Linked DNA regions of Struthio camelus. The protein of the gene in region 2 purifies or fractionates together with the protein of the main gene of each other region. This does not show direct contact. Links are inferred from orthologs where the notes say so. Each region holds a gene or a part of one and is shown on either strand. Other genes may lie near its edges.

Evidence for each region. The genes of interacting proteins can lie anywhere in the genome.
Region 1: the proteins of CAPN2 (region 2) and AFG2B purify together in Homo sapiens (co-immunoprecipitation; 3 studies listed by BioGRID and IntAct, with this or other methods). This does not show direct contact. The link is inferred for Struthio camelus from reciprocal best matches to the Homo sapiens genes CAPN2 and AFG2B.

Annotation. Positions count from the first base shown.
Region 1 is NC_090953.1:12,704,721-12,712,340, reverse strand, and holds the start of AFG2B (ATPase family gene 2 protein homolog B), read left to right. Parts: upstream 1-4,612; 5' UTR 4,613-4,885; coding exon 4,886-5,962; intron 5,963-6,742; coding exon 6,743-6,928; intron 6,929-7,620. UniProt on the Homo sapiens protein: ATP-dependent chaperone part of the 55LCC heterohexameric ATPase complex which is chromatin-associated and promotes replisome proteostasis to maintain replication fork progression and genome stability.
Region 2 is NC_090944.1:126,576,088-126,583,891, reverse strand, and holds the start of CAPN2 (calpain-2 catalytic subunit), read left to right. Parts: upstream 1-4,800; 5' UTR 4,801-4,809; coding exon 4,810-5,046; intron 5,047-5,546; coding exon 5,547-5,616; intron 5,617-7,804. Other genes in the region: calpain-8, read right to left, coding at 1,184-1,420. UniProt on the Homo sapiens protein: Calcium-regulated non-lysosomal thiol-protease which catalyzes limited proteolysis of substrates involved in cytoskeletal remodeling and signal transduction. Proteolytically cleaves MYOC at 'Arg-226'.

The DNA of each region.
Region 1 (7,620 bases), on a different chromosome or scaffold from region 2:
ATCTTGTTTACTTTGGATGGAGAGAATTATCATAAGAAGACATGGTTATTTTAATTTGTGAATTATAACAAATTCAGAATGATGAACAATATTTTATTCTACCTAAAATCAACAGCTACATCCAAATGAAAAATAGCAATGCTATTCCTCCTCTTTGGAATTTTCTTATAGAATTGTATGTTCTCCTTAAAAAGAAGTAAACCTGGCCTACCAAGTATGAAAGCAAAGAATAAAGGAATATTCTTCTCCAGCAATATACAGCAACAAACCCAACACAAAAGAACAGAAATGGTAATGAAGCTGAAAATGATCTGAACACTCACTGTGTTGGTTGTTCAGTTTGATTTTAGAAACCATCTCTCAAAAAGGAGTGAAGACAATGCTGTATTATATTTGATTTCTCCAAGAACTGATGACTACTCCCCTGAAATTGATAGATCTGCAAGGAGAAATACAGCCATTCTTGAAGATCAGCTGCCATCTACTGAATGATAAGAAAACTGTTTAGAACATTTCTCTCTTTTGACAGTTTAAACTAGATTCTTGGCTGAATATCTTTTTGTCAGTTCATCACTATTAATTTGGGGGTCCGTAAATGTTTCAGGGGCGACTATTAGAAGATATTAATTCTAAAGCAGAGCATTCAGTAATCTGCTTTCCAGAAAAATATAAAAATAAGGTCTTGATCCTACAGGTTGCTCCACACAGGCAATCCTGCTCACTTCCAGGAAGTTCTAATAATGACTTTCGGGCTCTACCTCATTATACTAAAACCAATGGAAATATCAGTGTCTCAAAGTAAAATATTCAGTACCATGACCATATATTCTAGTTAAAAATGACAGCGTTGAAGTTAAAACTCACTGCCTGAGACACGCACATCAAGCAACAATATCATCGTTTTTATGCTGCACATCAAATACGTTATTGGTATACATTTTTTTAAACATAGTAACATTAACTAACAGATTACTAAAATAAAACTAGAAATACTAACAGCGTGCATTAGCAGAGTCAAATTAAATATTTCTTGTGGAAAACTAGCATGTTTCATAAATTGGAACTTAATGGGAACACCTTGTGTTGTCGTGAAACAGGAAGAATTCAGAGATTATTACTGGTAGCTACCTGCTGAGTAGGCTAGTGGTTTTGTACTGCTTTTCTCCTCAGCCATCATCAATAATTTCACAATCAATGTAAGCTGACACAAGGTGGAGCTGTGACCAAAAGAGGTCACAGCCTTACCTCCTCTTCCAGCTCGCTATTTCAAGCCATTCTTTGCACTGCCGTAAGTATTCGCATGGCTGTGCAATGCATGAGATCAAGATTTGGTACAGCCAGTAACTAATTCACCAAAACAAATTAGTTCTATACCAAACAAGCTCATCTTCTTTGCGATATTCAGGCTTTTCTTAATAAAAGGCAGGACAGGGATTAGACATTGAGACCTATAAAGGGTGGAATCCCCTCTGACAGTTTATGCAAATCATGGAACTATGATTACAGAAGGCAGGAAGGATTAGAGACTGTTGCTCAGCTACTTTCTAGTTGTATTTGTACAATTCTGTCCAGAAGTAGACCAGCTTGCCCCTGTTAATAGCTGAAAAAATAATAAAGTTGGACCATCCCCCTGCTGAAACACTCACCTGCAAACAAGCATTAGGGTCATAGAAGTTCAATAGAACTTACCTTCAGATGTGAACATTTTAGAAACATATTTTCTTATAAAACAGTGGGCCATAATAGCTAATGTTATTAATAGATAATATCAGATTTCCATTACAGGTATGTATGTAAAGAAAAAAGAAAAAAGAAAAAAGACAAATGTAGAACCTCAAGTTTGCAAATTCCCAGTAGTCTTAACTTAATGATCTTTTTAATTGTAATTCAAAGTTGTTTAAAGTTCAGGGAGGCAGAGGTAACTCAGACAGAATTCTTAAAAGAAAATGATGCAAAACTAGAAAAAATTTCTCTCTGTTCCATTCCACTACTCCCTTACTTCTTGCTCTCAGACTCTTCTGTTGCACAGCTGGCCTGAACTTTGCCAGTCCTCATTCCCTCACAAAATTCTGTCTGAATGTCTATACCAAGCCTTTGCTCCACTAGCCACCTAAGACATTTCTAAGTACTACATCCAAGCCTTTCAGATGCCACCTACCTTTTTTTTTCTTTTTTACGTAGGCATACATATAGTATCACAAAAATTATTTTCCTTCGCTTATTTTTCTGGAGTCTGAGAACTTTTTCAGGTGCTACAATTATACATAGTGACAGTAAACCACATTCTGTAGGACATTTGTTGCTTAATTCAAATCTAAAACTTCAAAGAGATTTTGGAAAAAAGGTGGGCTACCCATACAGACGTCATTCTAAGATCAGAACCTAAATATAAACAAACTGTTACAACACAATATCAAATCAAACGGCAAGATCAACGGAAATACAACTTGAAAACATCAGAATCTATTTGCTAGATAATTCAGCCACAACAACAACAGTCTTCTGTGAAGAGGAGAAGATGAGATATGTTCTGATTACTTGATTTGTACATGTAATTTTCAACAATAGCCCAAAATTGTTTCCCACTTTTCCTATATGTAAAAATATGGGTATTTTCCACTGTTATACCCTTCCATAAGATATACTGAAAGAAAAGGTACTATGAATTAGATATTATTGTTTTATCAGGTTGGGGGGATATTTTCTTATCACTTAAACATTTTGTGTTTCTCGGTACTGAGGAGACAAATTTTAAATGGAAAAAAATGGATTCATGCAAAGCATCCCATCCATCATTAAAAAAAATCAGTAAGAGGACCTAAACTTGCTCTCACTAAAGCCAATGGCAGGTAATGTTAACAACTCTAATTGTTATTTGGAATTCTTTGTCACTCAAGACTAGGTTTTGCAGATGTTTCTCTCTTGTCAGAAAACAGATTTTCCAGATGTTACAAGAAAGCACAACTATATACGAATATAGACCACAGAGCCCAGTTTCAGATAGGCCCTTTTCTTTATTTTTTTTCCTAAGCACAACCTTTTAACACCAAGCAGAGAATCTACCTCTTACACTTTAGAATTCTCTGAAACAGTCTGCCATTTTAAATAGAATACGTTGTTTTCTTTAACTGAGTACGCACTCAAGAGCACTTATGCTTAAGTATGAGAATCTTTGAGGGAAAAGAAAAAAAACAAGAGAATATGTTTAAAAGACATATGCTTGAAAATACATTCTCCCTCTTGGAATGAAAGGTCCTTACAGTCTTCTGCCTTTACATTCAGCGCTCTGTCCCATCCTAAATACCGAATATGTATGTATATTCCACATGAATGTTTGCATACAACGCGCAGCAGTAAAATATGCTGTGAAAAATCATTAAGTTGACATCCAGGAAAAAAGGAACTGAAAATAAACACTGAAAGGAGAGAACTTGTTCGGGAACTGAAAAGAAACAGAACATAGGCCCTTTTGCATGTATTAAGACAAAAAAAGAAGGCTTACTGTTTTTCACACTGCTCACTTCTGATGTCCTAAACGAGCTCTTTTCACATTGCATATTCCGTTTGTACGGCTTACTAAAATACTTTGGCTACAGCCCTCGGTCCAGTAAGGAAAGTGATAAAGCGGGATATCATGAAAAAAATTTCCTATGCTTCCCCTCCAGAGGTCTTCATAATACATACTGGACTGCTTTTACTTAGGCTGTAAACCATGACCGCCACATTCTGTCTGTGTTTGTAATTGATTCTGACTGGTGTCTTATATTTGAGATCCCAATTTCGGGAAGTATCTGGTCTCATATGAAGTTTGTATGTATGAAGTACATGTGTAAGTGCAATCACAGTGAAGCTCCTTACAAGAATAAAATTATGCACACATTAAAATTTCGAAGATCATGACTTTATCTTGTATTCTACAATGCTGAGAGATTGCCTGAAAGGTAATTATAGAAGTACTGCATAATTTACTGCATAATTTAAGAAGGCTGTAGGCCAAAGAGTTATAAATTAACTTTTCCTAAACACTGATTAAGGATTTGTCGGAGCAGCACACTAATACAGATTTATCCATTGCTGAATAAATTTCTGTGTCCTGATTACTTGTATGAGCAGCTCCTCAAGATAACTGTGTGGCTCCCCAACTCCTTTTCTTAACGGGCAGCTACAGCTGCCCCAACCCCAACCGCTCATGAGCAAGGTGCTAGCGAGTCAAGGGACACACTGACAGGAGACACGGGAAGGAGGATGCTCAACTCTGGGGAGCACGTTTAAGAAGCACTACCTCGATGAGGGGGCCGAGCTGAGAAGAGACGAACGGAAGCAAGCACGCGAGCCTGGTGAAGACCGGCTCTGTGGAGAACAAGCGGGTGACAACGAGAGGAAGATCACTCCATTTCGTGGAGTGGGAGGAAGGTATAAAAAGCGGGCAGGTGGCCTTAAAGCTAGGCCGCCTGTCACTATGATGGATTCACCTCACGGCCGCAGCCGTTGGACACCTCTACGGAGGTGAAAGGCGTCAGCAGCCGCTGAGGCGACGGCGCGCGGCCCCCCCCGCCAGTGCGCGCGCCGGCGCCGGCGCCGGCTGGGCGGGGCGACCTGGGTCAGTGCGCGTGCTCTAGCGCAGCGCATGGGCAGCGCATGCGCAGGAGGCGCAGCGAGAGTGCTGGCGCGCGGCTGGCGGCCGTCCGCGCGTCGGGGCCGTTGCGGAGGAGGGAGGGAGGGAGCGGACGCTCTCTCGGCCCGGCCGGGCCGTTACGCGCGCGGAGCCGCGGCGGGCCCGGCTCTTGGCGGAGGGCGAGGCGGGGGGGGTGAGTAGTGAGCCGGACGGGGCCCTCTTAGGAGGGTTGCGTGCCCGTCCCCGCAGAGCGCGCCGCGGACGCCTGCTATGGAGGTCGCGCCCTTAAAGCTGCTCCCGCTGGATACGGGCGATGAGGGCACCCAGAGGTGCAGGGTAGGGCCTGCCGCCCTCTCCTTCCTGGGAGCCAGGATCGGGGCCCCGCTGCGGGTCACCCTGCCCACCGGTTGCTGCTTATGCACGGCTTGGCCCAGGCACGATTTGGCAGACGGTTACCTGCAGGTCGACCTGACGTGCAAAACGGCAGGCGTAACTGCAAAGGAGCTAAAAAATCTCACGCTGGACATCAGCCAGCTGAAGCTTTTGGCATATCATCACTTAAAAAAAGTGACTGTGAAAGTAGTCCTTAAGAACTCTGCGCTGAAAAAGTCTACCTCCAGAGGGGTGTTGCAGGAGATAATCAAAGAACTGCTAAGAAGTATTTATGTTTCGCTTCATTACACTGTTACAGTTGCTCCAGCTCTTGAAAATCCCGTGGTGTATATTGAAATACTTTCTGTAGACCCTTTGACAGATGAAGCTGGACTAGTAACCCCCCAAACAAGCATAAAAATTAAAGAGGTTGTTCCTTTAGAATGGTACAGGCATTTATCAGAAGACACTGCGACAATTTCAGTTGCAGGACTAGATGGTGTGGGAAGGTCTCTGAAAGAAATGGTTGACTTACCTTTCCGTTTTCCAAAAACTTTTAAGAAGCTGGGACTTTCTGTCCCTAATGGAGTGCTATTAGTAGGCCCTCCAGGTGTAGGGAAAACCCTTCTGGTAAAGGCAGTAGCAAAAGAAGTGGGTGCCTATCTGTTTTGCATCGGTGGCCCAGCCCTGTATGGTTCAAGACCAGGAGAAAGTGAAGAGAACTTGCGAAAAGTTTTTGAAAAGGGCAGAGAAATGTCCTGTGAAGGACCAACCATTCTCTTTATTGATGAAATTGACTCTTTATGCCCAAAGAGAGGAAGTTCAAACAATGCTCCTGAAGATCGTATTGTTGCTCAATTGCTAACATTATTGGATGGCACAGGTAGCAAGGATAAGATGGTTGTTATGGCAGCAACAAACAGGCCTGATGCCTTAGATCCTGCACTGAGAAGACCTGGCAGATTTGACAGAGAGGTGAGCAGACCTGTTTTTTTCACACCCTCCTTTGCACGGGGAGGGTGGTACAATCAAAATAATTATACTTTTGGAGGAAAAGGGCTACTTAAATGTTATTAATGCGTTCACAGTTAAAAGTATCATTTTAGAGGGTTTGTTAATTGTTGAAATGTATTCTATGGTGGCATTTTTCCAAGTTTTTTTTTCATGTATGAACATTTACCGAATTGTTTTTCTTTTGGATTCAAAGATCTGCTTCCTTATTCCAGTTATTGAAATACTTTATTTTGTGTGTTCATATCTTTGAGTTTATGGACTAAGAATTGTAGCAAGACAAGCACAAATTCACAGGATCATCCTTAAAGGTACTATTATTTCTGACTTCTGTTTTACCTAGTGCATTTTATTAAATGCATGTAATCATCATCTAATTCAGCTCTTATGATGCAAGGCAAGTATTATTTCAGTGCTAAGTCTTATTTTTAAGTTACCTTAAAACATGTCTTTACAGACTGGGGGCTGATGGTGTTATATTAACAGCTGTTTATACAAACACTGTCCACTTGGAAAATAAGTGTAAATGAAAGGTGTTTTAAATATTTGTCATTTGTATAGAGTTTTTTATGTCAGAGTGCTGGAGAACTGCTAATTAGTTTCTTGTAAAATTATTTAATCACAGTATAAGGAAGTATAAATCTTCAGTAAGCAGTATAGAGAGAAAGTTGCTTGCCTAGGTCTATAAAATGAGGAATATAGCAAAATGCCTACTTACTTTTTTTTTTATTATATTTGGTTTAGGTTATTATTGGGACACCAACACTTACACAGAGAGGATCCATCCTGCAGTTGCTTACATCTAGCATGCCAATTTCTGCAGATGTTGATTTGGTTAAACTGGCAGAAATGACAACTGGGTATGTTGGAGCTGACCTTACAGCGCTCTGCAGAGAAGCTGCTATGCAGGCAGTGTTACAGAGCTCTCAGGTAAGGCTGCAAATTAATCAAGAAGGATGTCATTATTAATATGTACCACCTTTTTCCCATTAATGCTCTGCTTTTACTTGAAATGCTCAGCAACTTGAAGAACTCAGAAATTAAAATACTGAAAATAAGCAAGTTATAAATGTAAATATACAGTTTTGCTAGTGACTTTCAGCTCACGCCTGAGGGGACTGTTCTGTCCTTTCTGAGTAAAAAGCTTTACAAAAGGTTTTAGTCTCTCCTCCTTTTTAGGAGTGTGCAAAGGAGATATTTTTTATTTGTTTTTTGAGGAAAACTAAACTGGAGTAGTCCACCAAAGCTCTCTTTTGAAAATATCAGCAATTTAGAATTCTGCTTCTGAACAATAACTGTGCAAATTACAGTTTAGAGTGTTATATATGTATACATGTGTACATATACATGTACATATTTATATATAAATAAAATAAATGTTTATAACTGCTAGTGATTATAACTTGTCTTTTGGATTGCATGGCTAGATATAACATGAAGTTACAGACACAAGGCATATAGTTATAACTGCCTTATGTCCAGTGGGAATTGCTGCTTCTTAATATTCTTTCCATCTTTATTGAGACTTTTACAAGAATTGTGAGGATTGTTTGCTGTGCTGCTTTGTCTGTGGAAGGTGACGTGGATGAGCAAAAATTTTAAAGCTGTATCTGCAAAATCTG
Region 2 (7,804 bases):
CTCGTAGGTTAAGTGACGATAAACCCGTGTGGTTCATAGGGAGCACGGAGGGGTCTTGGGCAGGCTGGCCTGCGGCGGGCAGGGCTGGACCGGTGCCCTGCGCCGGCTCTCAGCCCTCGGCTGGCCCTGCCGCACTGCACTTGCCGTCGAGCCTGTCTGCTGCGGCCACAAAGCCACCTTGCCTGGGGTGGCGGAGGATAAATTAAGGAGCTGTCTAAGGGCCGAGTTTTCCCAGGGACGGCAAAACCAAAAAAATATCGCCACAGCACTCATTGCTGAAGCGCCCAGGTACCAAAGTGAAATGCTGACTGACGAAGGGCTTCACCGAGGAGGTGCCTGAAGCTGGAAGCTCCAGTGTCTCACTTTTCGGGGGGGAAAAGTTTCTAGGCCTTGAAATTTTCTTGCTCTCTCGCTTTCTCCTTCCTCCCCCATCTGAAGGTAAGTTGTCGTGGGGTTTTTTCCTTCTTCCGTCCCCCCTTTTTCCATTTCTTTCTTTTTGATACTCCAGGGAGGGGCAAAACAAGGAAGGAGGAATGAAGTGTGGACAGAAACAGTGGGAAAATGAAAGACCAGAAACCTTTTTTTGAACCTTGTGGTTTAGAAAAAGAAATCTCAGCACCTAATCCTTTCTGATGAAAACGACTATTTTAAATGAATGGCTCTTTACAGGATATGGGCATTTTGGGTAATAACAATTCCAGTCAGTTGTTCTTTCATTGCTATAGGCTGCTTGAAGTGATGCAAAGGGTTTTCTTTAGGCATTAGCCTCGTTTCCTTGGAGGCACGCTGGAAGGGACGTGGTGGAGGGACTGCGTTACACCCGATGACGAGCGGCTCCTGGGGCAGCCCTGCCTGGATGCCCCTCGGGCCTCTGCGTACCGCTCGCAACTCTCGTGCAGGTTTCTAGCTCCGTGGAGCCAGGTTGGAAAGCTTTAGAGAGAAAGGAAGGAAGCAGGTTCTCATGAAGCAAGAGGTTTCCTCGCTTTATGAGGGATTTAGGATCGGCTGATCTTCCCCTTTTCAACCTTGCTGCAGCTAGCAACCAGGGAGGTGAAGAAAGAGGGAAGAAAAAGCACACAGGGACAGCAGGTATTCAGGATCAGCACTGGCTTAGGATGGAGGTCCAGGTGGCTTTGATTAGATCTGGGGTTAGTAAAACATGCAGTAAAGAAAGTGCTCTTACCGTGGGTCGCTTCCAGATTATCCCCTGGGTTTTGGGGGAATACGGACCCAGGTCCCTGTAGCCCAGCGCGGAGGGACAGGCTGGGAATTCCTCATCCTTAAAGAGCGCACCGGCCTGCAGGCACCGCTGCTTCAGGGCCTCGTAGTCCTGGTTTAAGTACCGGACGGCATTGCCGCGGGACCCGAGCCCGCCTGCTGCCGCCCGCTCCTTGCACAGCCTGGCCGCGGCGCCGGCCATACGGGCTGCTGGCGCGGGGCGAAGGAGGGCTGGCGGCCGCCTGGCGTGGAGCGAGGGGCTGCCCTGCGCGCTGCCACCGTCTCGGAGGGAGGAGGCGCGAGGCCGGCGAACGCGTCCGGCGGGCAGGGAGCTGGCACCGCCGGGGCTGTGGGCGCCGGCTTGGGCTGCTCCCCCCGGTATTTGCTTACAAGCTGGAGAACTCCCTGCCCCTTATTAAAACACACCTTTTTTTTTTTTTTTTTAACCAGGAGCGAAGCGAAACAGCGATACGGCAGCCACACCTGTTTGCGCAGTGGCAACCGATCCGACAGCCTGCGGGGAGTCAGGCTCGCGGCTCCGGCTGTTGAGGAGCCCCCACGACAACGCTTTCAAGCTCCTTTCCTTCCAAGGTCTGGGGGAGGCGGGAGCAACCACACAACCTGCGCCAGGACTTCAGCGGAGGCGGCTGCGGAGAGGCCAGCCAGCGTTAAAGCCAGGGAGATATTGAACAAACTGCACAAGGAACAAGCTTTTGGTTTGAATGATCTTTTTTTTTTTAAAAAAAAAAAAAAAAAGGTCTTTGGTGCTCTCCAACTAGTACAATTTCATGAATTAATTGGTTAGCAATAAAAAGGGTGAACTTGATAGAGCAAGGGATGGCCAGTTGGCCATATGGCCTGCAGGGGCAAGGCTGGATGCAGTCCAGCAGCACAACCTAGACCAGATGTCGCAAACTGTATGTTGGCATATGTCAGCAAATGGGAGGCAAGCTGGCAGCCCCTGCTCCCCGTCTACCACCAAACGTATACAGCGTCGCCTTGGGCAAAAATCGCTGTACTTTCCCCCATCTATAAAAATGGGCTCCTACCTCAGGCAGTGCAAATTTACCCATCATATCATACGCAGGCTTTTGGTGGTGCTTCTTCCATATGAAACGCTTACAGGGCGAAAACGCACCTTGGCTGCAGAAGTCTTTTTGGACCTTAAAACTCGTGGTTCCTGCTCTTGTGACTCGTCTTGTCCTCGTATATAGCTACACGTCTCCCTGGCAAGGTGGCCGCAGGCAGGTCTGGGAGCTGAGGCGGCGGCTGCTCTCTGCTGAGTTGGGACTCAGCGGTCAGGTTTCCCCAGGAAAGCTCACTGAGAGCGGGGTAAACAGCAGCTTTGCTTATGGAGAGTACGTGCGACCCCTACGTCTTTCTGCTGTCAGTTTAGACAGAAGGTGTGGGAAGGGAAGAGAGAAATGCTACGGAAAGAAAACCCTTTGAGATAAGGAGTCCAAACAGAGGCTCGCCAGCTTACTTGTCTGCAAATATTTGAAGAGCATAAATAGAAAAGAGGAAACAGGATGACCTGGTCTGCTCCAGGTGGGCCCAGGTAGGGAAGGCTGGGCCGAGGGCAATGCAAGGCCGACGGTCTGAAAATTCAATTAACAGGGACATTTTACTGCTGAAATTGAGCAGAAGAGAGGAACGCTCAGGATTTTGTGTCTTTGTTACGTTGTGATATTTCTGCATGTGTTTGCGTCCTGAATCAGAACAAAGAGTTGAATAATAAAGGGTTGGGAGAGGGGGGTTGTTCTCTTTCCAAAATGGATTTTTTTTTTCCAGAAAAATAAGACCCATCCAGAAGTACCCACTTGCTGTGACCCGCAAGGCGGAGCGCTTGTTTCTCTCCCTGCCCGCACCAGCTCCTTGCCCTGAAGCTCCTCGGGTTCCCGCAGCCCAGAGAGACAAGCCTGCGGTTTGCGGCGACCCTTGTGAGCGGCAGCCTTCGGCGGCGGCGTTATTCACGGGCAAGCGAGGTGCTCTGGCGGAAAGCGAGGCGCTGTGGCACTTGGCAGCGCCATTCCGGGCAGGAATCGGTGGTTTCCCGCGGGCTGCTTGGAGGGGCCTTTGGCACGCCGCAAGGGCAGAAGGGTCGCCGCGCGTGGAGCGCGGTACCAAAGCACCATCTAGAGGTGCCTCTCCAGCCAGACGAGGAGAAGGCGGTGGCTGTTAAGTTGACCACGCTGAGAGCTGACGGTTATGCTACGGGGTTGGGGCGGGGGGGAAGGTTTGAGGTTTTCGCTGACCGTGTCTCGCCCTCAGCGCAAACTGCTGCCGAAGTTGCATGAACACACGGGGAAGGAGCAAGCGGAGCGCGTATAAGACCGGTTCGGGTTTGCGTGGCTCCTGGGATGTGCGTATTCTCGTCTGAGGTCTCCTCCTGAACCCTCTTGGCTGTAAAAGGGAATCCGCAGGTTGCACGAAACCGAAAGTGGCCCCTCCGGAGAGGAGAGGTGCCGCTCGCCGAGCGGTGCGTGGTACGCGTGTCGCTGCAGCGCATGGGGCAGAGGCGCAGGAGCTGCGCTGCCCTGCGCTGCCCTGCGCTGCCGCGCCGCGCCGCGGAGGAGGGCGGCTGCAGACCCCACGCTGCGGAAAGGGGTGAGCCGCCTTTGAGGAGCTTGCCTCCTCCTGGCCTCGCTGCCCCGCTCTGCCCCGCCGCGCTGCCCCAGAGCCCTGGCACCGGCGGGGCTGTTAGCAGGCAGACTAGCGGGAACCGCGGCGGCTCCTCAACGCCTGTCCGCCTGTCCGGTTGTTTTTTCCAGAGGTTGAAACGTTCCCCCTAAATGCTGGGTGAGGGGAAGAGGGGCTGGGTCCCGGCTGCCTGCTGCAAACCGGTGCGCTCGCCGCGGCGTGCCAAGAGCTTCACAAAGGCGAAGTGGCTTTCTGAAGTCAGCTGGCGTCGGGGGGGGGCGCGTCTGGGGTAACTCCGTCCTGGCGGCCGCCGTCTCCCCTGCCCAGGGCGGCGAATCGGCGGCCAAAGCCGCGCGGGAGCGGGGCGGCGCGGCGGCTACAACCAGCAAACCCGGCTGCAAGTGATTTGTGTTGCCCGCACCGCTCAGAAAAGTTCCTTCTTCCGTAGGTAAGGCGGGGACGCGGGGGGGGGAGTCAGGAAGGACTTTATTGTGACTTTTATTATTATCATCACTGGGGTGTGGGGCACGGGGCGGGGGTGAGCTCTCAGCGCAGAGGTTAAGATCGTACCTGGCCGAAGGCGGCGGGGCTGCAGGGGGAGCTGAGCACTGACAGCACTCGTGACACCTGCCCGGGAAAAGGTGGGGGGGGGAAGGGGGAGCCGAGCAGGGCACCGCCCCCTGCTCCCCCTCCCCCCCCCATGGCCTGGGCCGGAGGGGCGGGGCCGGAGGGGCATAGGGGCGTGGCCAGGGACGATGGGGGCGGGGCCGGAGGGGCGCAGGGGGCGGGGCCAGGGGCGGTGCGGGGTTGGCGGAGCGGTGCGGAGGGGACCGGGGCGAGGCCAACGGCTCGGAGGGGCGGGGTCTCGGCGGAGGGGGCGGGGCCGGGGCAGGGCGCGGCGGCGGCGGCGGCGGCGACGGCGGCGGGAGTGAGGGCGGGCGCGGCGCGGCCATGGCGGGGATGGCGGCGGCGGTGGCGAAGCAGCGGGCGGCGGCGGGCGGCGCGGGCGGCCACGGCCGCGCCACCGCCTTCCTGGGCCAGGACTTCGCGGTGCTGCGGCGGGAGTGCGTGGAGGCCGGGCGGCTCTTCGAGGACCCCTGCTTCCCCGCCGCCGCCGCCGCCCTGGGCTTCAAGGAGCTGGGGCCGAGCTCCGGCAAGGCGCGGGGCGTCGTGTGGCGCAGACCCACGGTAGGGCGGGAAACCGCTGTCCCTCCTTCCGTCGCCTCCCGCTGTAACGGCCCTGCCCGCCGTCCGGAGGGGTTTCTGGGCTGTTTTCGCGTCTTTGGCTTCAGGCGGGGTCGGCGGGCCGCGGGCAGCGCTCCGCTCTGTCGCTTCGGCTCACCGGTTTCCTCGGCAGCGAGACGGGCTGAGCGAGACGCGGACGTCTGCCCGGACCCCGAGGCGTCTAGAAGTTTCCGGCGGGCGCCGGCGGTGGCAGGGAGGCAGCAGCAGAGCGGCGCGCGCGGGCTGCCTGGCGCGTGCTGCGCAGGTAGATGTTTGCCCACCGGGCTTTGGCCACGAGCTCCCTCTCTCACCGCGCTCAGCCCGTTCGCTGCCCACGCTCGTTCCCGACCGGCTCCCTGGCGTCGTCCTTCTGCTGTAAAAGTTGCTGGTTTAAATTTCCTGCGATAGGGACTTTGTCCCCTCTGCTGTCTGCCCGGTACGCTTACCGCTTGTTTCGTCCCCAGGAGCTGTGCGCCAACCCCCAGTTCATAGCTGGCGGAGCCACTCGCACAGACATCTGCCAAGGAGCTTTAGGTAAGATGGAGACAACGCACTGCGCGAGTGCTACTGCAGGACGCCGGAGTCCCCTGCTCCCGCGCTGTCTGGCTTACCGCTTTGCTATAATTCACTCTGTAGCTACATCCTCTGGCACCTTACCATCTTCCTTTGTATCGGATTTGATCTTACTTGCCTTTCTTTCATAGCTGCAGACTGGGACCGCATCTGCTCGTCCGTTGCATGCAGCCTTGCTGTACGCGAGGAGTACTGGTGACGTGTGCCCATCTTCTGATCGCGACCAGCTCCTGTCATGCGCTCCTCGCCTCAGTACCCATGTGCCTGACAGCAGTATGCCAAGGAGCGTGACTAATTCCTGCTATTAATAATCTGCCTAGGAGAACAGTTGTGTGTGTTTCATGGCGCTTTTTTTGCCCAGTGGCACAGAGATCTGTGGAGCAGGCAGGATCCCCTGAAACCCGTAATGATGCAATACAGAGTAAACAAGTTATGAAGAGAGATGCCATAGTGCTAATCAGCTCGCAAGCAAAACTAAGCTGGTATTTTTCAGGAGGGGTGGGCATGCCTTTGTGTACCTGCATGCGAGCCATTTGCCTTTGACCTGCCCACCACCAAGTTTGTGCAAGGGCAGTTCCTAGAGCCGGTCGCTCCGGAGGAGCCCTGGGAGCCCAAGGGGTGGCTGCTCCACGGAGGGGAGCGAGAAGGGACTTGCTCACGTGGTTCGGTGTGCGCCATCGTTTCTGTCTCTGAGCATTTCTCCTGCCTTGTCTACCAGGAGTTTGAGGCTGAGTATTTGTACGCTTCTCTTCCCCGAAGCGAGCGAGGAGGCAGGCAAAGAGGAGAAATACAGACATAGGAGAGGAGAGAAGCTAAGGCGGAAACAGCGAGTCTGGTACTTATTACATGACTGTCTACAGAGAAAGCTTTCAGGATTTCAGTTTAGACTGACAGTGCAATTGAGGGGAAACTTCTCAGTCTTTGTGTAGGGAAGCGTGACTAATATGCTGTTCGTTTTCACTGTTGTGCTTTCTCAGTGGAATTGGCAAAAGAGTGAAGTCCATGGGTCTGTTTGCTTTCCATCAGCATAAAATTGGTGATATTGCTGCTTATTAGTTTCTAGTCCTGCTGCTGCTATTTGTGTTTTATCGTACAAAATATATAGCAGGTAGGAAGGCTCATTTCAGGCGTTTTGCATTTATAACAGTTCTTTCAGAGGTTATTCTGGTTAGTACTTTAGCAATAAGACACAATCGGTGTAAAAGAGCCCTGGAAATCAAAATACCTTAGATTGTGAATTTAATTCTTCTCATGCCCCAGTATCACCTGTGGCGTGGATTAGGCTCCGTTGTATCTGTTGTGAAGTCCTTGGCACGTTGCCTGCGTTACCCTTTCGGAAGAAAGGGCTAGGCGCGTTCTGTTGGTCAGCTTCCTTCACATGTTTTCTCTCTGCCCAGTATCTTGTCTCCCATGACAAATGTTTTGGCACAATACATGATCCAACACTTAATACTTGTGCTGGATATTTTCCTCATTTTTATTGTGAAACTTTACAGCTAAGGAGTTGTTCAACTTGAAATTATAGTCTGTTGTAATTTCAGTCATTTTAACAGCAAACACTTTGCAGAGACGCTTGTTTCTGAAGGCACTTAGTTGCCTTCTGCCTTCGCTAGGCTTCCAGCTTCTCTGTCTGCATGTTGTGGCAGCAATAGTACCGTAGTTAAGGATTTGCAACTTAACTTTCAAGTTGTGGAGTTGTTTTTGCTGTTACCAAGCTTTCTCATATATTGGTGAAAAGAATTTGTTTCCTGACAGGTGTTTGGGCCAGTCCGTGTGGATGCTCTCATGAGGTTGCGTGTTACCACCAAAGGATATGAGCTGGCTCACCACTTGTGTTCTTTTACCACCTGAAACAATGTTTTAATAGGAAATTGTTAGTGTTCTTGTTTGTTTCACAGTTTTGGACAGAACCGACTATGACTAGCTGCGCTATCTTCCTATGAATCTGGGCAGGGTTTTGGTATTCTGTGTCAGTTCAGTTGCCGACTAAAATTAGATGCTGTTGATCTTTTATCTAGTGTTTAGCCACTGAGTCACTAAGTGCCTGTATTGAATCCTTTTTCACAAAGTGAGGCTAACAGCTGTGCTGTACAGATGCATTTTGTTGCTGCTGCCTAGTTTGACACTAGCGTTAGAATTGATACATTTG